2 linked regions of the Elephas maximus indicus genome follow. The protein of the gene in region 1 interacts with the protein of each later gene in a pairwise test. Links are inferred from orthologs where the notes say so. Each region holds a gene or a part of one and is shown on either strand. Other genes may lie near its edges.

The links.
Region 2: the proteins of EHHADH (region 1) and DES interact in binary tests that used the Homo sapiens proteins (3 or more experiments, as listed by UniProt). The two-hybrid records come from large-scale screens. The link is inferred for Elephas maximus indicus from reciprocal best matches to the Homo sapiens genes EHHADH and DES.

Annotation. Positions count from the first base shown.
Region 1 is NC_064819.1:29,837,480-29,844,645, forward strand, and holds the start of EHHADH (peroxisomal bifunctional enzyme), read left to right. Parts: upstream 1-3,996; 5' UTR 3,997-4,054; coding exon 4,055-4,128; intron 4,129-7,166. UniProt on the Homo sapiens protein: Peroxisomal trifunctional enzyme possessing 2-enoyl-CoA hydratase, 3-hydroxyacyl-CoA dehydrogenase, and delta 3, delta 2-enoyl-CoA isomerase activities. Catalyzes two of the four reactions of the long chain fatty acids peroxisomal beta-oxidation pathway.
Region 2 is NC_064824.1:117,994,019-118,002,052, forward strand, and holds the start of DES (desmin), read left to right. Parts: upstream 1-5,009; 5' UTR 5,010-5,084; coding exon 5,085-5,659; intron 5,660-6,760; coding exon 6,761-6,821; intron 6,822-6,945; coding exon 6,946-7,041; intron 7,042-7,160; coding exon 7,161-7,322; intron 7,323-7,494; coding exon 7,495-7,620; intron 7,621-8,034. UniProt on the Homo sapiens protein: Muscle-specific type III intermediate filament essential for proper muscular structure and function.

The sequences.
Region 1 (7,166 bases):
GCTGGGCTTCCCCTGAGGTCAGTTCAGGGGGTTAGGGCTGCACCCCGTGATTGTGCCATCTCAGGATGCCATGCTCAGCTCCCCTATGCCTGGTCCAAAGCCCAGGGCCAAGGTTTCCTGACTGGGACGCTGGCTTCAGGCTCCGAAAACAGTCGCTGCTTCCTCGTGGTTGTTCGTTCTCAGTCTCTGTCACTCAGGTCAACTCTTTAAATCTGTGTTTGTTGGTCAGGGTTCGTAGATTGTCATATATGTGATCAATTCACTTGTTTTTCCGAGTCTTTGTTGCAAGAGGGATCTGAGGTAGCGTCTACCTAGTCAGCCATCTTGGCCCCCTGTATATAAGTTTTTGTGTGAGAGACTGACTTGATTTGTAAACTTTCACTTAAAGTACAATAAAAATTAAAAAAAAAAAAACTTGGATTAATTTCTTGCTCTTGCTACAAGACTACTGTGGGTCTGCAGAGAGGGTCTGCTCATTGTAGTCGGTCAGGAATCCAGACTGAATGGGTTGGCTCCAGTGCTGTTTCGTGCCAGTCTCCTGGTCGTGCTGCCACTGTTTCTCTGCTGCTGCTTCATCTGTGAGTTCTCTGGTGTTACAGCTCTCATCATTTCTTTTTGAGTCCTCACCAGAATTTTCTTTGATGTCCATAATTCCACCAACAGTCTCCTCAAGGCAATCTAGGCTTTTACTATTAAACATTTTAGATCTCTTGCAGCCTCTACCCATTCACAGTTTCAAAACCACTTCCACGTTTTAGGTATCTGTTAGAGCAGCACCCCACTCTCGGTACCAAATTCCATCTTAGTCATCAAGTGCTGCTGCAACAGAAATACCACAAGTGGATGGCTTTAACAAATAGATATTTATTCTCTCACAGTGTGGGAGGCTAGAAGTCCATATTCAGGGCACCAACTCCAGGGGGATGCTTTCTCTCTCTGTCAGCTCTGCGGGAAGTTCCTTGTCATCAATCTTCCCCTGGTCTAAGAATCTCTCAGCACAGGGACCCTGGGTCCAAAGGACACACTCTGTTCCTGGCACTTCTTACATGGTGGTACGAAGTCCCTCTCTTCTCTGCTCGCTTCTTTCTTTTATATCTCAAAAGAGATCGACTCAAGACTGCCTCTAATCCTGCCTCATTAACATCATAGGATTTACAACACATAGGAAAATCACATCAAATCATAAAATGGTAGACAACCACACAATACTGGGAATCATGCCCTAGCCAAGTTGACACATATTTTGGGGGAATGCAATTCAATCCATAACATATGTTTAAGGTTTAACACTTGAGCAAGCCACTTGAAATTATAGAACTCACCATTGTTGATATTACTGGTGTAGTGAACAAATTATTTTTATCCCATCTCTCATCTCACACACTTATGTGAGAAGCTTTCCTCTTCAAATGGCAGCCAACTTCACTATGGAAGAACAATTTTGTACTCACTGCCCATTTCTTCAGTGTATTAGTTAAGACAGAAACCTTGGTGGCATAGTGGTTAAGAGCTCAGACTGCTAACCAAGAGGTCAGCAGTTTGAATCCACCAGGCGTTCCTTGGAAACCCTATGGGGCAGTTCTACTCTGTTCTATAGGGTTGTTATAAGTTAGAATTGACTCATGGCATCAGGTGGGTGGGTGGATATCCCAGAGTGAAATGGGAAAGTACATGGAAGAAAGCATGGAAGAGATTTTATCACCCAGGCTGGAAAGCATTGTCTTGTCCTTATTCTAGAAAATTTCTGACTGGTTTACCAGAGAAGTCAGCTTCCATGGCTTCATGCCACTACTGAATTTTCATGACAAACACGGCATTTCAAGGTTCATAGATCACCAGTGCAGGGAAAAGCAAGATTAGATAGTTATCTCTGTTCTTTTTAGTATGCATACAGATTTGCATAACCAAAAGATCAGCGGTTCGAATCCACCAGCTGCTCCTCAGAAACCCTATGGGGCAGTTCTACTGTGTCCTGTAGGATCACTTATGACTTAGAATTGACTCAACAGCAATGGGTAATAGTAATAGAAGGAGCCCTGGTGGCACAATGGTTAAGCACTCTGCTGCTACCCAAAAGGTCAGAGTTCAAACTCACCAATTGCTTCATAGAAGAAAGATGTGGCAGTCTGCTTCTGTAAAGATTTACAGCCTTTGAAACCCTATAGGGTTGCTATAAGTCAGAATTAACTTGATAGCAATGAATTTTTTAGTAATAAAAGGGGGCAGTATGGTTCAGTGGTAGAATTCTCACCTTCCAGGTTCCAGTTCGAGTCCCAGCCAATGCTTCTCAAGCATAGCCAGCACCCTTCTGTCAGTGGAGGCTTGTGTGTTGCTATGATGCTGAACAGGTTTCAGTGGAGCTCCCAGACTAAGGCTAGGAAGAAAGGCCTGGGGATCTGCTCCTGAATATTAGCCAGTGAAAACCCTATGGATCGCAACGGTCTGTTACCATTGTGCATGGGGTTGCCATGAGTTGGGGCCAGCTTTTCTGCAAACAACAACACAGTAGGGGAACGTTATGCTGGTTAGGTACAATCTCTCTAAGCAGAACAGACTGTAGATTTTACATACAGCTTTTGGGCAACATGGACTTCAGAGACTGGGGAATTTCCAGAGGCATTTAGGGTTTTTTTTTAGGGTTGACATCACTTGTAGAAGTTGGTTGCTTAAATGAGCCTGTTGTTGATTGGTGGCCCTCGGAAGTGTGAGTATTGTATGGTTTGTGATTGGCTGGCTATGAAAGTGAGGGGCTGTCATTGACAGGTTGGCTTTCAAAAGTGGGTTCATTGAGGCAATTGCCCTTGATCTATTGAATGGGTTTTGCTACTTATTACCAGGGTTCAAAGCAATGAAAATAACCCTTAATCATAGTTAAAATTTGTGAAACATCAGTGAACAAAGCTATTCCACTGTTTTTTTCCTCTGAAACTTTCAGGCTGCCTTCTGATCACTTCATGGAGGGTGGGTTCTACTGGAGGCTAATCATGCTTAGAGAAACCTGGTCCTCACTTCTGGAGGGAAGGGACTAAGCCTGGTTTATTTTTACAGTCTCCAGCCTACACTTAAAAAAACCAAACTCTTTGTCATTGAGTTTATTCCAACTCATAACAACCCTATAGGACAGAGAAGAACTATCCAAGGAGGGGCTGGTGGACTGGAACCGCTGACCTTTGGGTTAGCAGCCCTAGCTCTTAACCATTTATAGTATGTGTTCAACTTCTGAATAAGTGAAATATTAGAAGTCACAATCCTTCAGAATGTCAGAATTTTTAAAAGACAAAGGATTGGGCAGACAAACTCATGGGTTTCACTGATTGCCATGTGAACCTAGGACTAGTAACAGGATTTTTAGGTAAATGTTTGGCTGATGTTAGTACCCTACTCCTTAGGTCAAACTTGTGATGCTTGTGTTCCAGGTGTGTGCCATTTCACACAATTGTCAAGGGCCTCAGATATCTACCCCCTTTCAGAAGGATCATGAAAACTCTTCAGAGGACAGCTTGGCCAGCTTAGTGAGCCCAGACTTTGTCCTCCGAAGTCAGCCCCTCTGAGTGTCACAAACCTCCACTCCCTGTAATTCCACCGGTTTTCCCCAGCCCCCTTTGGACTGCTTTGTGATGGGAGGAAGATGGGAGCAGGATGGGCAACCACAGAGAGGAAGAGATGGCAAGTGTTTGTAGAGCGCAGGGTGGGGTCCCGGGAATGGAGAGGGCTCGGTGGAAACATAGGGTGCGGCCCAGGTGCATTCGGGCCAGGAGGGAAGAAGGGGTGCGGCCTCGGTGCAGTCGAGCTGGGTGGGAAGATGGGGTGCGGGCCCGGGTGCAGTCGGGCCGGGATGGGCGGCGCGGGTCCTCGCGGACCGCAGGAAAATGGAGGGCGGGCTGGGAAGACCGGGTGCCGGCCCGGGGCCAGCCGGCAGGCGGTCCGGGCGCTCGGGGGCGGCGCCCGGCTCTCATTGGCTCAGCGGCGCCCCTCCTCGCAGGGCGGCCCGGCCCGGGGAGAGAGGCTTCGGCCGGCAGTCGGAGGCAGAAGTGACCTCGGCGACAGAGGGGCAATGGTCGAGTATACGCGAGTGCGGGACTACGTGGCGCGGATCCGCCTGCGAAACCCGCCGGTCAACGCCATCAGGTAACAGACCTGGCAGGTTCACCGGCCCCCCGCTCGGTGCTGGTTTAAATCCAGAAACTGACACCGACTGAACCCCAGGCATCTGCGGGGACGTTTTTACAGGGGTTGGTTTGGGGACTCTTCGCAGAGAACGCTCATCTCGGTTTGACTGGTAAGGAAACCGAGGCTGAGGGGTGTAGCTACTAAGTAGGAGAAAGGGACTCGAACCGGCTCTGTCCACGCCAACTTCATGCAAGACCCTTCTGCTAGCTCACAGCTTTGGGTCTTCAGTAGTTTCTATTCCAAAGATCTTGGTTCAGTACAGTCCTGGGCCCTGGACCCTCACTCCCCAGCCTGAAATCCAGGCTGCCCTTAAAACATGTAGCTAAGAGTTTTAGAACTCAGAAAATAAAATGGTTTACAGTCGCCTTGAGTCAGAGTGGGTTGGACTGGCAACTAACAACAACACAAGGCCCCAGTTCATGAGAAGGCAGGGAGCATGAGCTGATCTGCTCCAAACCACAGGGCCTTAATGCTTCTGTGAAAGGTCCATGTCAGAATAAACCCTCAAATGGCATTTTCTGAAAAGCTACTGTGCAGTTTATCACCTTTTATTTCATCACGTGGTAACTTCTTTGTTAAACTCTCTAACCGAGATTTGTGCAGAACACTTGCAGAATTACTTTTAAAAGTGAGAGTAATGCTGCCTTTTTGAAAATTAATGACTTTATGGTACAGGTTTGGTCCTTCCATATCTCTGCAAAAAAAAAGTATGGTGACACTTTAGCCTTAAGAAAAGCCACCCATCCACAGGAAGCGGGATTAGAGGAAATTAGCATAAATAATCATGTTATACAAGGGCCTTTGATCAGAATTCTTAACTGTAGACTACTGAAGCAAAGAGAGACTGAAATGAGGAAGCCTGCTAATTTTAACTGCATTGTTTATTCTTCTGTTATCAGATTTGATTCCATCTTTAATGTTACTGTTATAGTTCATATTATAGTGTGAATGCTTGCATTTAATAATACAAAAAAAAAAAATCGCAGGAACCACTCCCACAAGGACAATATGTCCGCTTGATTGAAAAGAACAGTACGTCAAGTTTCTTGCTTTGGATGAAAAAACCCCAAGTAATAGGATTATGTATCAGTTTTGGACTTGTCTGTGTTCTGGTTAGAATTACCAGACGTTAGGACTCTCTGCCACACCTCTGCTCATAATGGGAAACTGTGCCAATCAAGGGAAACCCTGGTGGCATAGTGGTTAAGAGCTATGGCTGCTAACCGAAAGGTTGGCAGTTGGAATCTACCGGGTACTCCTTGGGAACTCTGCTCTGTCCTGTAGGGTCCTTATGAGTCAGAACTGAGTCTGTGGCCACGGGCTTTTTTGGTTTTACACTACAAAGGCTGGTTGGGGTGACTTTGCAGGGTAGCTGCCCCCCTTGCAGTGACACAGCAATCCAAGCTACTTTAATCTTTGGAGGATACCATCTCAACATGTGGCTCCCAGGACGCCTTGGCAGGGGGATGGAAAACAGAGCACCATGCAAAAAACCAAACCAGTTACTGTGGAGTAGACTTTGACTCACGGCAACCCTGTGTGTGTCAGAGTAAAACTGTGCTGACTTTGCAGAAGTAGATCACTATGCCATTTTTCGGAGATGCCTCTGGGTGGACTCCAGCCTCCAACCAACCTTTCAGTTAGCAGCTGGACATTTTAACCATTTGCACCACCCGGGGACTCCTGGAGAACCACACCACACTCAAAAAAACCAAACCCATCAAGTCAATTCCAGCTCCTAGTGACCCAATAGGACAAAGCAGAACTGCCCCATAGAGTTTCCAAGGAGTGCCTGGTGGATTCGAACTGCCAACTTTTGTTTAGCGGCTGTAGCTCTATTTTTGGTGTTGTTCCAATTGCAATCATTCTTTTTCTTTTTCTTTTTTTATTGAACTTTAGATGAAGGTTTATAGAACTAATTTCTCATCAAACAATTAGTACACACATTGTTGTATGACATTGGTTAACAGCCCCACAACATGTCAACACTCTCCCTTCTGAGCCCTGGGTTCCCTGTTACCAGCTTTTCTGTTCCTCCTGCCTTCTAGTTCCTGCCCCAGGGCTGGTGCGCCCCTTTAGTCTTGTTTTGTTCCATGGGCCTGTCCAATCTTTTGGCTGAAGGACGAACCTCGGGAGTGACCGCAGCATTACTGAGCTGAAAAGGTGTCCGGGGGCCATACTCTCAGGGTTTCTCCAGTCTATGTCAGGCCAGCAAGTCTGGCTTTTCTTTTTGAGTTGGAATTTTGTTCTACATTTTTCTCCAGCTCTGTCGGGGACCCTCTCTTGTGGTTCCTGTCGGAGCAGTCAGTGGTGGTAGCCAGGCACCATCTAGTTGTACTGGACTCAGTCTGGTGGAGCAGCCATAGCTCTTAACCACTGTCTCACAGAGCAATGGCTTGCACACTTTTTTGACTGACCCGCATAGTAACCCAAGTTTTACATTACAACCCAGGCCATGCATACATACAAATACATGGCTAAAACCAAAGTTTCTGGAAACAAAACTAACCCTTCCATATTATACAGTTTGATATAGTTTAGTCTATTTTCTCTCTTTTTTCAGTGCCAGTCACAGGCCACAGACTCGATGTGGTGACCTTCAGTTTAAAAGCAAGACAAAATACTATCTAAAAAAGACCTCCTGTGGTCACAGAAGCTAAAGGGTTTTGGTCACAGCACACGTGACTCCAGACTCCATTTCACCTGACAGGATCGAGGGAAGAAAATGAGTCCTTCACCCTGGGGATCTTTACATTGCTGCAAGGCTGTGGTCCCTTCCAGCTGGCTTGAATTCAATAAAGCTGTATCAGTTACAGCCATTTTAGTTTTTCTCACTTCCTCTTTTTGAGTTTTTGCAAAATGAACAAGGAAATAAGAAATAAAAGAGGAGGGGTTGGTTGAAATGGAAAAAGCCAACATCTTCTTCATAGTGGCACCAGTTGAGCCAATTTTTGGCTAATTTTAGAGCCATTGTTTATTTACCCAGAAGGAAATAC
Region 2 (8,034 bases), on another chromosome or scaffold:
GGGGCCTGGGGACAGGGCATGGGGAAAGCTGGCCAAGGAAGAATATGGCCCAGAGATCTTACACCAATTAGACACAGAAGGTGGCTGAAGGTGGGGGAGGGTTGCTGGCTGGGCCTGGCACAATGAGGGGAGGAGGGGTGCAGCCCAGGAGGGATGAGTTTCAGGGAGAATCCTGACGTGCCACAGTTCCTGCTGGGCCCCCCAATTCTCCAGCCTCCCTCGTGATATCAGGAAGACATTCCTTCCCTTTTACAGTCACTCAAGGCGCCTCTGTGGCCTGTGGAGGTTTAGCAGCTGCTACAGCTGAGGGGAAGGTAGATGCTGGGGGAGCTTGGGAGATGCTGCTTGGGGGAGGGGCTCTGGGAGCAGGGAGGCAGAGGGATACCAGGGAGTGAGTCCCCAGGAAGGGCTCACTGTTCCCATCACTCGGCCCAGAACATCAAACCTGAGGGGACCTTGGAGATGACCCGGCCTGGTCCCTTCTTTTATTCCTGGGTCACTTCAGGGCCAGAGAGGAAATGAGACTTGCATAGATGGTTAGTCAGTGAAGCCCTAGTATGAGCACCCAGATCCTAAATGGCCTCTGGTTGACCACCCCACCCCACCCCTACTGCCATGCTTGGGTCATCAGCTTTGGCTCTTGGTGGAGGGTAGAACTCATACCTTTTGGAAATGTCACCTGTTCTACCATTCCCAGCTTCTCTCCCTTCCCTGAACTAACTACCTCAGGGCTTCAAATATACGGACACATTTTCTGCCAGCAGAGCTGTCCACTGTCCCTCGATGGAGACATGTTAGGCCTCAATGATTCCCTGTGGAATGGAGTGGGCTGCCTTGAGACAGCAAGTTCCCAGGTACTAGAAGGTTCCAAGCTGGACAAGTGCTTGCTGGAGTCCCTTAACAGAGAGGTGGGAGCATGGGACTGGTCAACCTCCACGACCTGTGATGTTACGTACAACCTCAAGCTTCTAAGACTCTATAAGGTCCAGGTAATCTGGGAAAATTTCTAGCAGAGAGCAGGACCAACTTCCTTCCTTAATTCCACAAAATTTCTTGAGGACGCCCACTGTGCAGGGTACCATGCCACACATACAAATTTATACATTGTACCGTTTTCTGACAAACACTGAATGAAAGGGTCTGTCTCAGCGAACCTTCCCATTTCTAGTATCAATTGCTAAAGTAAGAGATACGATCACAAAATAATGTTACTGTTCTATTAAAATAAACAACAGAAATAACTTACTAACATTTATATATCCAAAAGTGTGTCCCGAGGATGTTCACAGCAGTGTTGTTTATAATCGCAAAAGACTGGAAACAACATAAATACCTCTCAGTAAGGAACTGGCCAAATAAATTATGGCAAATCTATACAGTGAAATATAAATGAACATATTAAAAAGAATGACTCAACTGTCATTGCACTAAAATGGAACAATCTTCAAGGTATATATTAAAACCTTAGCTCAGAATAGTGTGTAAGTGTTAAAAAAAAAAAAAAGTGAGAAGGGGTGTTTTATATATAACATGTTTGTTTATGCATAAACTATCTCTGGAAGAAGGAAAAAAACCAAACAACCCAAACTATTGTCTTTGAAGAGAGGTGTGGCTGGGTGTCAAGAGTGGGAGGGAAACTCACTTTTCACTTTATACCTTTTTGTGCCTCTTGAATTTTTTATCATGTACTTTACCCAACCAGATAAATTATTATTATTTTTAGCATGTCCAATTCTAAGTAGTCCCCTTAGGAGGCTGTTATTCCAGCGATGCTGCCCAGCTTAGGACATGTTTTGGAGGCTCCTCTTTCACCTGCTTTCCAAGCCTGGGGGTGGTGTTTTGCTGCCCTCCATGGTAGCAAATCCTAGGGGTGGAACTGAGTTTTGGAAGGAGCCCCAAGTGGTTTGGAGCCAAGTCGCTAGATGTTTATTTTGACTAGAGAATAAATGGCATTGTTTATGTATTTTTTTTTCTGTCTCATTTTACCAAGGAACCAGCTTTGGGCTGGTCTGAAGGCCAATTTCCTCATATGGTCTGGGGACCATTCACAGAAAGGAGCCCCAGAAATGTTCTGCCCTCCGAAGCATCATGGAAGTGGGTATAACCCATTGCTGTCCTGTAGATTCCAACTCCTATTGACCCTGTAGGACAGAGTACAACTGCCCCATAGGGTTTCCAAGGCTGTAATCTTTACAGAAGCAGATTACCACATCTTTCTCCCAAGGAGTGGCTGGTAGGTTCGAACCGCTGACCTTTCAGTTACCAGTCCTGCACTTAATCACTGAGTCATCTCAGGGCTCCTTGGAAATGGGTGTACCGTCTCCAAAAGTAGATTAGTCAGGATTCTTTTGGCTGCAAGTAACAGAAACCCAGCACAAAGGACCTTAAGGAAAAAAAAAGGAGAGTTTTTTGGCCCCAAAGCCAAGAAGGATGCTGGGAAACTCCCGGAATCAAGGGAAGAGCTGCAGGAACCAGAGGCCCAGGGGCTGGAATTGAGGACTTCCTGCTCCGGTTTTCTCACCTTCTCCAGGTGTCTCTGCTTCTCCTTGTATGTTGACCTCTCTTTCCTCCTACTGCAGAAAGGTCTCCCCAGGGAGCAGGAAACATGGCTGATGCAGGCTCCAGTTTAGAAGTCCCAATTCCATCTATAAATTCCAGGGAAGGTCTCTGATTGGCTCTGCTCAGGCCCAGGCCCATCCCTTGAGCCAATCGCTGAAGTCAGAGAGATGCAGTAATAAGACTAACTGGGATCTGAGTCACATGGCCAGTCCTGTTGGGGGAAGAAAGGGGTACAGCATTTGTTCCCAAAATAAGTAGATGATAAAGAAAACTTTCAGGCTACTTTGAACGACAATGACTCTGCTGCCTGGGATGTGTTAAGGATCCAGGCAGCCTCCAAGATCCTCCAGGAGCATAGGATCTAGTTTGGGAGATGAGACACAAACATAACCAGAACATAACAGCTCGAAGACTGGATAAGAATATTTGGAACTCCCCACCCACCTCATAAGCTTGTCTCATGGATAAAAATTAGACACTTAATGAGAAAGGACTTTAAAAAGACGACAATAATGACGCCCTTACAGTTCATCTAGGACATTCACAACTGCCCCAAGGGCAAAGCACCACCCTGGAGTCAGACTCTCTCAGCTTCCTCAGCTATAAAGTAGGAATGATACTAGTTCCTACCTCATAGGGTTGTTGGAGACTTGGGGACCGTGGGTATGTCGAGCACTTAGCAGAGTGGCACACAGTAGGTGTTCAATAACCAGCAACCAGATACCATGGAGTTGATCCCAACTCATGGTGACCCTGTGTGTGTCAGAGTAGAACTGTGCTCCATAGGGTTTTTAATGGCTGATTTTTCCGAAGTAGATTGCCAGGCCTTTCCAGGTGCCTCCGGTTAGACTCGACTCTCCAACTTTTCAGTTAGTAGCCAAATGCCTTAAATGTTTGCATTACCCGGGGACTCCAGGTGCTCAGTACATGTTATTATTTGCATTATCATTACCTGAACCTCTAAAGCCCCATAAGATAGGAATGGTAAAGCTGACCATCCTCATTTAATAGATGAGGACACTGAGGCTTAGGAAAGTGAAGGACTTCACTTGTTGGTGATGGCAGAGTTGGGGTAGGACCAGCTATGGGCTCCCAATCCAGTGCTCTGTTTCCACGGTTTGCATTCCAAAAGGGTCAGTCCTAAGAGGGGCCTGTAGTGTGCCAGGTGGAGGTGCAGAGACACAGCCAGTGTTCCTGGAGAAGTGTGGGCATCCCTAAGGGTCAGGGAACACCTTGTACTGAGGGGGTTATGAAGTAATGGCCACACTCTTTGGGACTCCCTGCCCGCTGGGGCCTGGGGCATTAAGAGAAGGGAGCCGGAAGTGATTGGGCCCTGGCACCCCAAGCCTTCCCTCGACCACTCTGACACCCATGCCACCTCAGGTAGCCAGCCCCCACCCCCAGCTTGCTCCCCTTCTGTGTGCTTGTTTCCCGGACGGATGCATTCTCCTCTATAAATACCAGCTCTGGTATTTTGGGTTGGCAGCTGTTGCTGCCAGGGAGATGGCTGGGTTGACATGCAGCTCCTGACAAAACACAAATCCCTGGTGTGTGTGGGTGTGGGTGGTGTGAGTAGGGGGATGAATCAGAGAGGGGGCTGGGGGGCACCCAAGGAGACAGGAGCCAGGGAAGTTAGTGGTGTGGGGGTGGGAGTATACATACAAACTGGGAACTGAAAGCACACCAGACCCTCCTTCTGGAAAGCATCCTGTTGTTTATAACCTTGAGGCCCCGCCCTCATCCATGGATGTTGTGTGTTGTGTATGTGGTGGTATACACCAGTTCAGTGGGAAACTGAGGCCTAGTGCTAGAACCCAGGTGCCAGTGGACATAAGTGGGCAGGCAGGGCTGAGGTTCCTATTAGGCTTTCTGGGAGCATGGCTCTCTGCTGGCTCAACACCCTCCCAACCTCCCTGCCTAGAGACCCCCAAACACAGGGCCTTCCTGGTAGACCCCTGTTCTTTGCCTGAGCCCTCCCAAACCTCTCTCTGCAACTTCTTGCTAATCTTTAGAAATAAAGTAGTCTGGGGCCTTTCATGGGAACAGGCCTTGTCCCTTCAGGAAATGACCCCAAGTCTCTCCTTAGAGCAAAATGGGACCCTCAAACTAAATGGTAGACTCCACCCAGGGTTCTCCCCTGACCACCCCCAAGGCAAGGCAGGCACTGGAGGGCTGACAGGGGCCCCCCTGGCGGTTCCAGCCAGGCCGTGCTGGTGAGGCACCGGCAGGCAGGCCTGCTACCTTTGGCCCTCCTGGGTGGATGGGCCTCTCTCGCGCACCCCTCACAGGCCCCCCCCCAGCCAGCCAGCTGGGGGCGCAGGCCTCTGCGGGGGAGCTGGCCTCCCCGCCCCCACGGCCAGCAGCCGCCCTTTCCTGGCAGGACAGCGGGATCCTGCAGCTGTCAGGGGAGGGGCGCGGGGACTGATGTCAGGAGGGATACAAATAGTGCGGAAGGCCGGGGGCCCTGTCTCCCCTCGCCGCAGCCACTCTCCGGCAGCCTCCCAGCCTCGCAGCCCGCCGCTACCATGAGCCAGGCCTACTCCTCCAGCCAGCGCGTGTCTTCCTACCGCCGCACCTTCGGCGGCGGGTCGGCCTTCCCGCTCGGCTCCCCGCTGAGCTCGCCCGTGTTCCCGCGCGCGGGCTTCGGCACCAAGGGCTCCTCGAGCTCGGTGACGTCGCGCGTCTACCAGGTGTCGCGCACGTCGGGCGGGGCTGGGGGGCTGGGGTCGCTGCGGGCCAGCCGGGTGGGCGCGAGCCGGACCCCCTCGTACGGTGCGGGGGAGCTGCTGGACTTCTCGCTGGCCGACGCCGTCAACCAGGAGTTCCTGACCACGCGCACCAACGAGAAGGTGGAGCTGCAGGAGCTCAATGACCGCTTCGCCAACTACATCGAGAAAGTGCGCTTCCTGGAGCAGCAGAACGCGGCGCTCGCGGCGGAAGTGAACCGGCTCAAGGGCCGTGAACCCACGCGCGTGGCCGAGCTCTACGAGGAGGAGCTGCGCGAGCTGCGGCGCCAGGTGGAGGTGCTGACCAACCAGCGCGCGCGCGTCGACGTCGAACGCGACAACCTCCTCGACGACCTGCAGCGGCTCAAGGCCAAGTGAGGGCAGCGCGCCTGAGGCAGGCCTGGGAGGGAGTAAAGCGGGCAGTCATGAAAGGGTTATTAACCATCCTGTAATAGGTGTTGAGTTGACAACTTAAGGGGGTTCTCAACTGTCAGCACACACCATCTCCCAGGCCCTGGGGCTCCTCTCCTGCCCCATGCGGAGAGCATCGCCTACCTATGGGCCCCAGGTCTCTCCCCTCTGCTCCCACCCTGCAAATGAGTTTTCTTGGGGAGATCATGGGGTGGACAAGGGAGACTTTGCGAGCCTGGGCACCCTGTTGGGCAGCCCCTTGAACAAGCATCTGAAGTGCCAGGGTGATCTTGATGGGGTCAGGCAGAGAGGTGGATGAGGTCTGGAGGAGGCTGTACTGCAGTGCTGAGGAAGAAGGGAGGTGATGGGAGGCAAGAACTCCAGGATAGGCTGGGCAGGGCAGCTGCTGCCCTGGAAAGTGTAGGAGGAAATCCAAGCAGGAGCTCTCAGCTCATTTGTGATGGGGCCCTTGAGAAGGAGGTGGAGGGGAGCCTGGCCCCTGTGCCTGGATGAGGCTGTGCCATTTCACAAGGTGCATGGGATAAACCAGAGGGAGGAGGGGGAAGTGGGTAGGGGGCTGCAGCCAGAAGAAAACTTGAGAAGACCAGCGAGGTAGGCCCCACCAGGGTCCAGGACAAAAAGGCAGCAATTATGAAGCAGGTACTGAGGGCACTGCCTCTGACAAGCTAGCAGAATCACCCCCTGGCCTCCCAGGTCACAAATATTAATTGAACGCCTACATGCGGCAGCCTAGGGCTGGCAACCAGGAACAAAGAGGTGGATAAAATAGACACAGTTCCTAACCCCAGGGAGGTCACAGTCTGGTGAGGACATAGACTTCAAGGGTGTGGCCCCAGGGCAGAGATTGGGCCACTCTCCCACCCTCCCTGGGTGGGGCAGCACCTCTGCCACTCTCCTTCTGAGCCTCCTGTCTCCTTGCCCGGCAGTCAGGCCTCCTCCCTCTGTCCTGAGTACACTCTCTGGGCAGCCTCCAGCCAGTCCTCTCCCCCGCCTGCATTATCCCCCACTGACTGTCTGTCCTTCTGCCTGTCTGTCCCTGCCAGGCTGCAAGAGGAGATCCAGCTGAAAGAAGAAGCAGAGAACAATTTGGCTGCCTTCCGAGCGGTGAGCTCCCTTCACGCCCCCTCCCATGCCAGCCTGCCCCCTCTGTCCCTCCCGCTGTGGCCCTTATCTCCTTCTACCCTGCCTGGATGATCAGTGACACTGCCCCGTTCTCGGCCTCTCCCAGGACGTGGATGCAGCCACTCTATCTCGCATTGACCTGGAGCGCAGAATCGAGTCTCTCAACGAGGAGATAGCGTTCCTCAAGAAAGTGCACGAAGAGGTATGCCCTTGGCCCTCTGTCCTAATTCCTTGGGCCACCGGGAAGCAGGTGGGAAGTAGGGGTGGTGCTGGGCAGTGTGAGAGCCTGGTGGGGGACTGAACCCTAGCCACGCCCTGCAGGAGATTCGTGAGCTGCAGGCCCAGCTTCAGGAGCAGCAGGTCCAGGTGGAGATGGACATGTCCAAGCCAGACCTCACCGCTGCCCTCAGGGACATCCGGGCTCAGTATGAGACCATCGCAGCCAAGAACATCTCTGAAGCTGAGGAGTGGTACAAGTCAAAGGTGGGTTGCCTGGCCCAGGGACTCTGGTACCTCTGTCCCCCTCCATCCCAGTTTGGAGGTGCCACCGCTGGCTCCATCTCTGGGGAGGAAGGTGGCCCCAGAGCCTCCACATTCTCTACCCCTACGTGCCCCTGCATCCTTCTCGTCTCCGGACCCCTCTCTCTGCCCTTAGGTGTCTGACCTGACCCAGGCAGCCAACAAGAACAACGACGCACTGCGCCAGGCCAAGCAGGAGATGATGGAGTACCGACACCAGATCCAGTCCTACACCTGCGAGATTGACGCCCTCAAGGGCACTGTGAGTCCCCTCCTACTTTGCCTGGCCCAACCCCTTCCTGCCTGCTGCTCCTGCCCTCCCTTTCCGTGACCTTGAGCCCATCACTACCATCTCTGAGCCCCCATTTCCTCAAGTCTGCAACGACAGGGGTTAACACAGGTGGATTCCCAGCTGGGCTCTAAGGAATCAGAGGGTTCCTGAGGGCGTCTCCCTCTGTTGAGAAGGGGACTCTGAACATAGACGCTCTCCCTAAATCTGTTCTATTCCCTGAATGTCCACGTAAGACTTCATTTGAGCTCAGGGTTCCCTGGCTGAGAGGGATTTGACGACTCCTGGACCTGACCACCTTGAGGTGCACAAGCCCCAAGATTCTGTCTCTCTCCATCCTGGGCCCCTTGTGTCCTCCTCCCTAGACAGCCTGTCCTTGACCTGAGT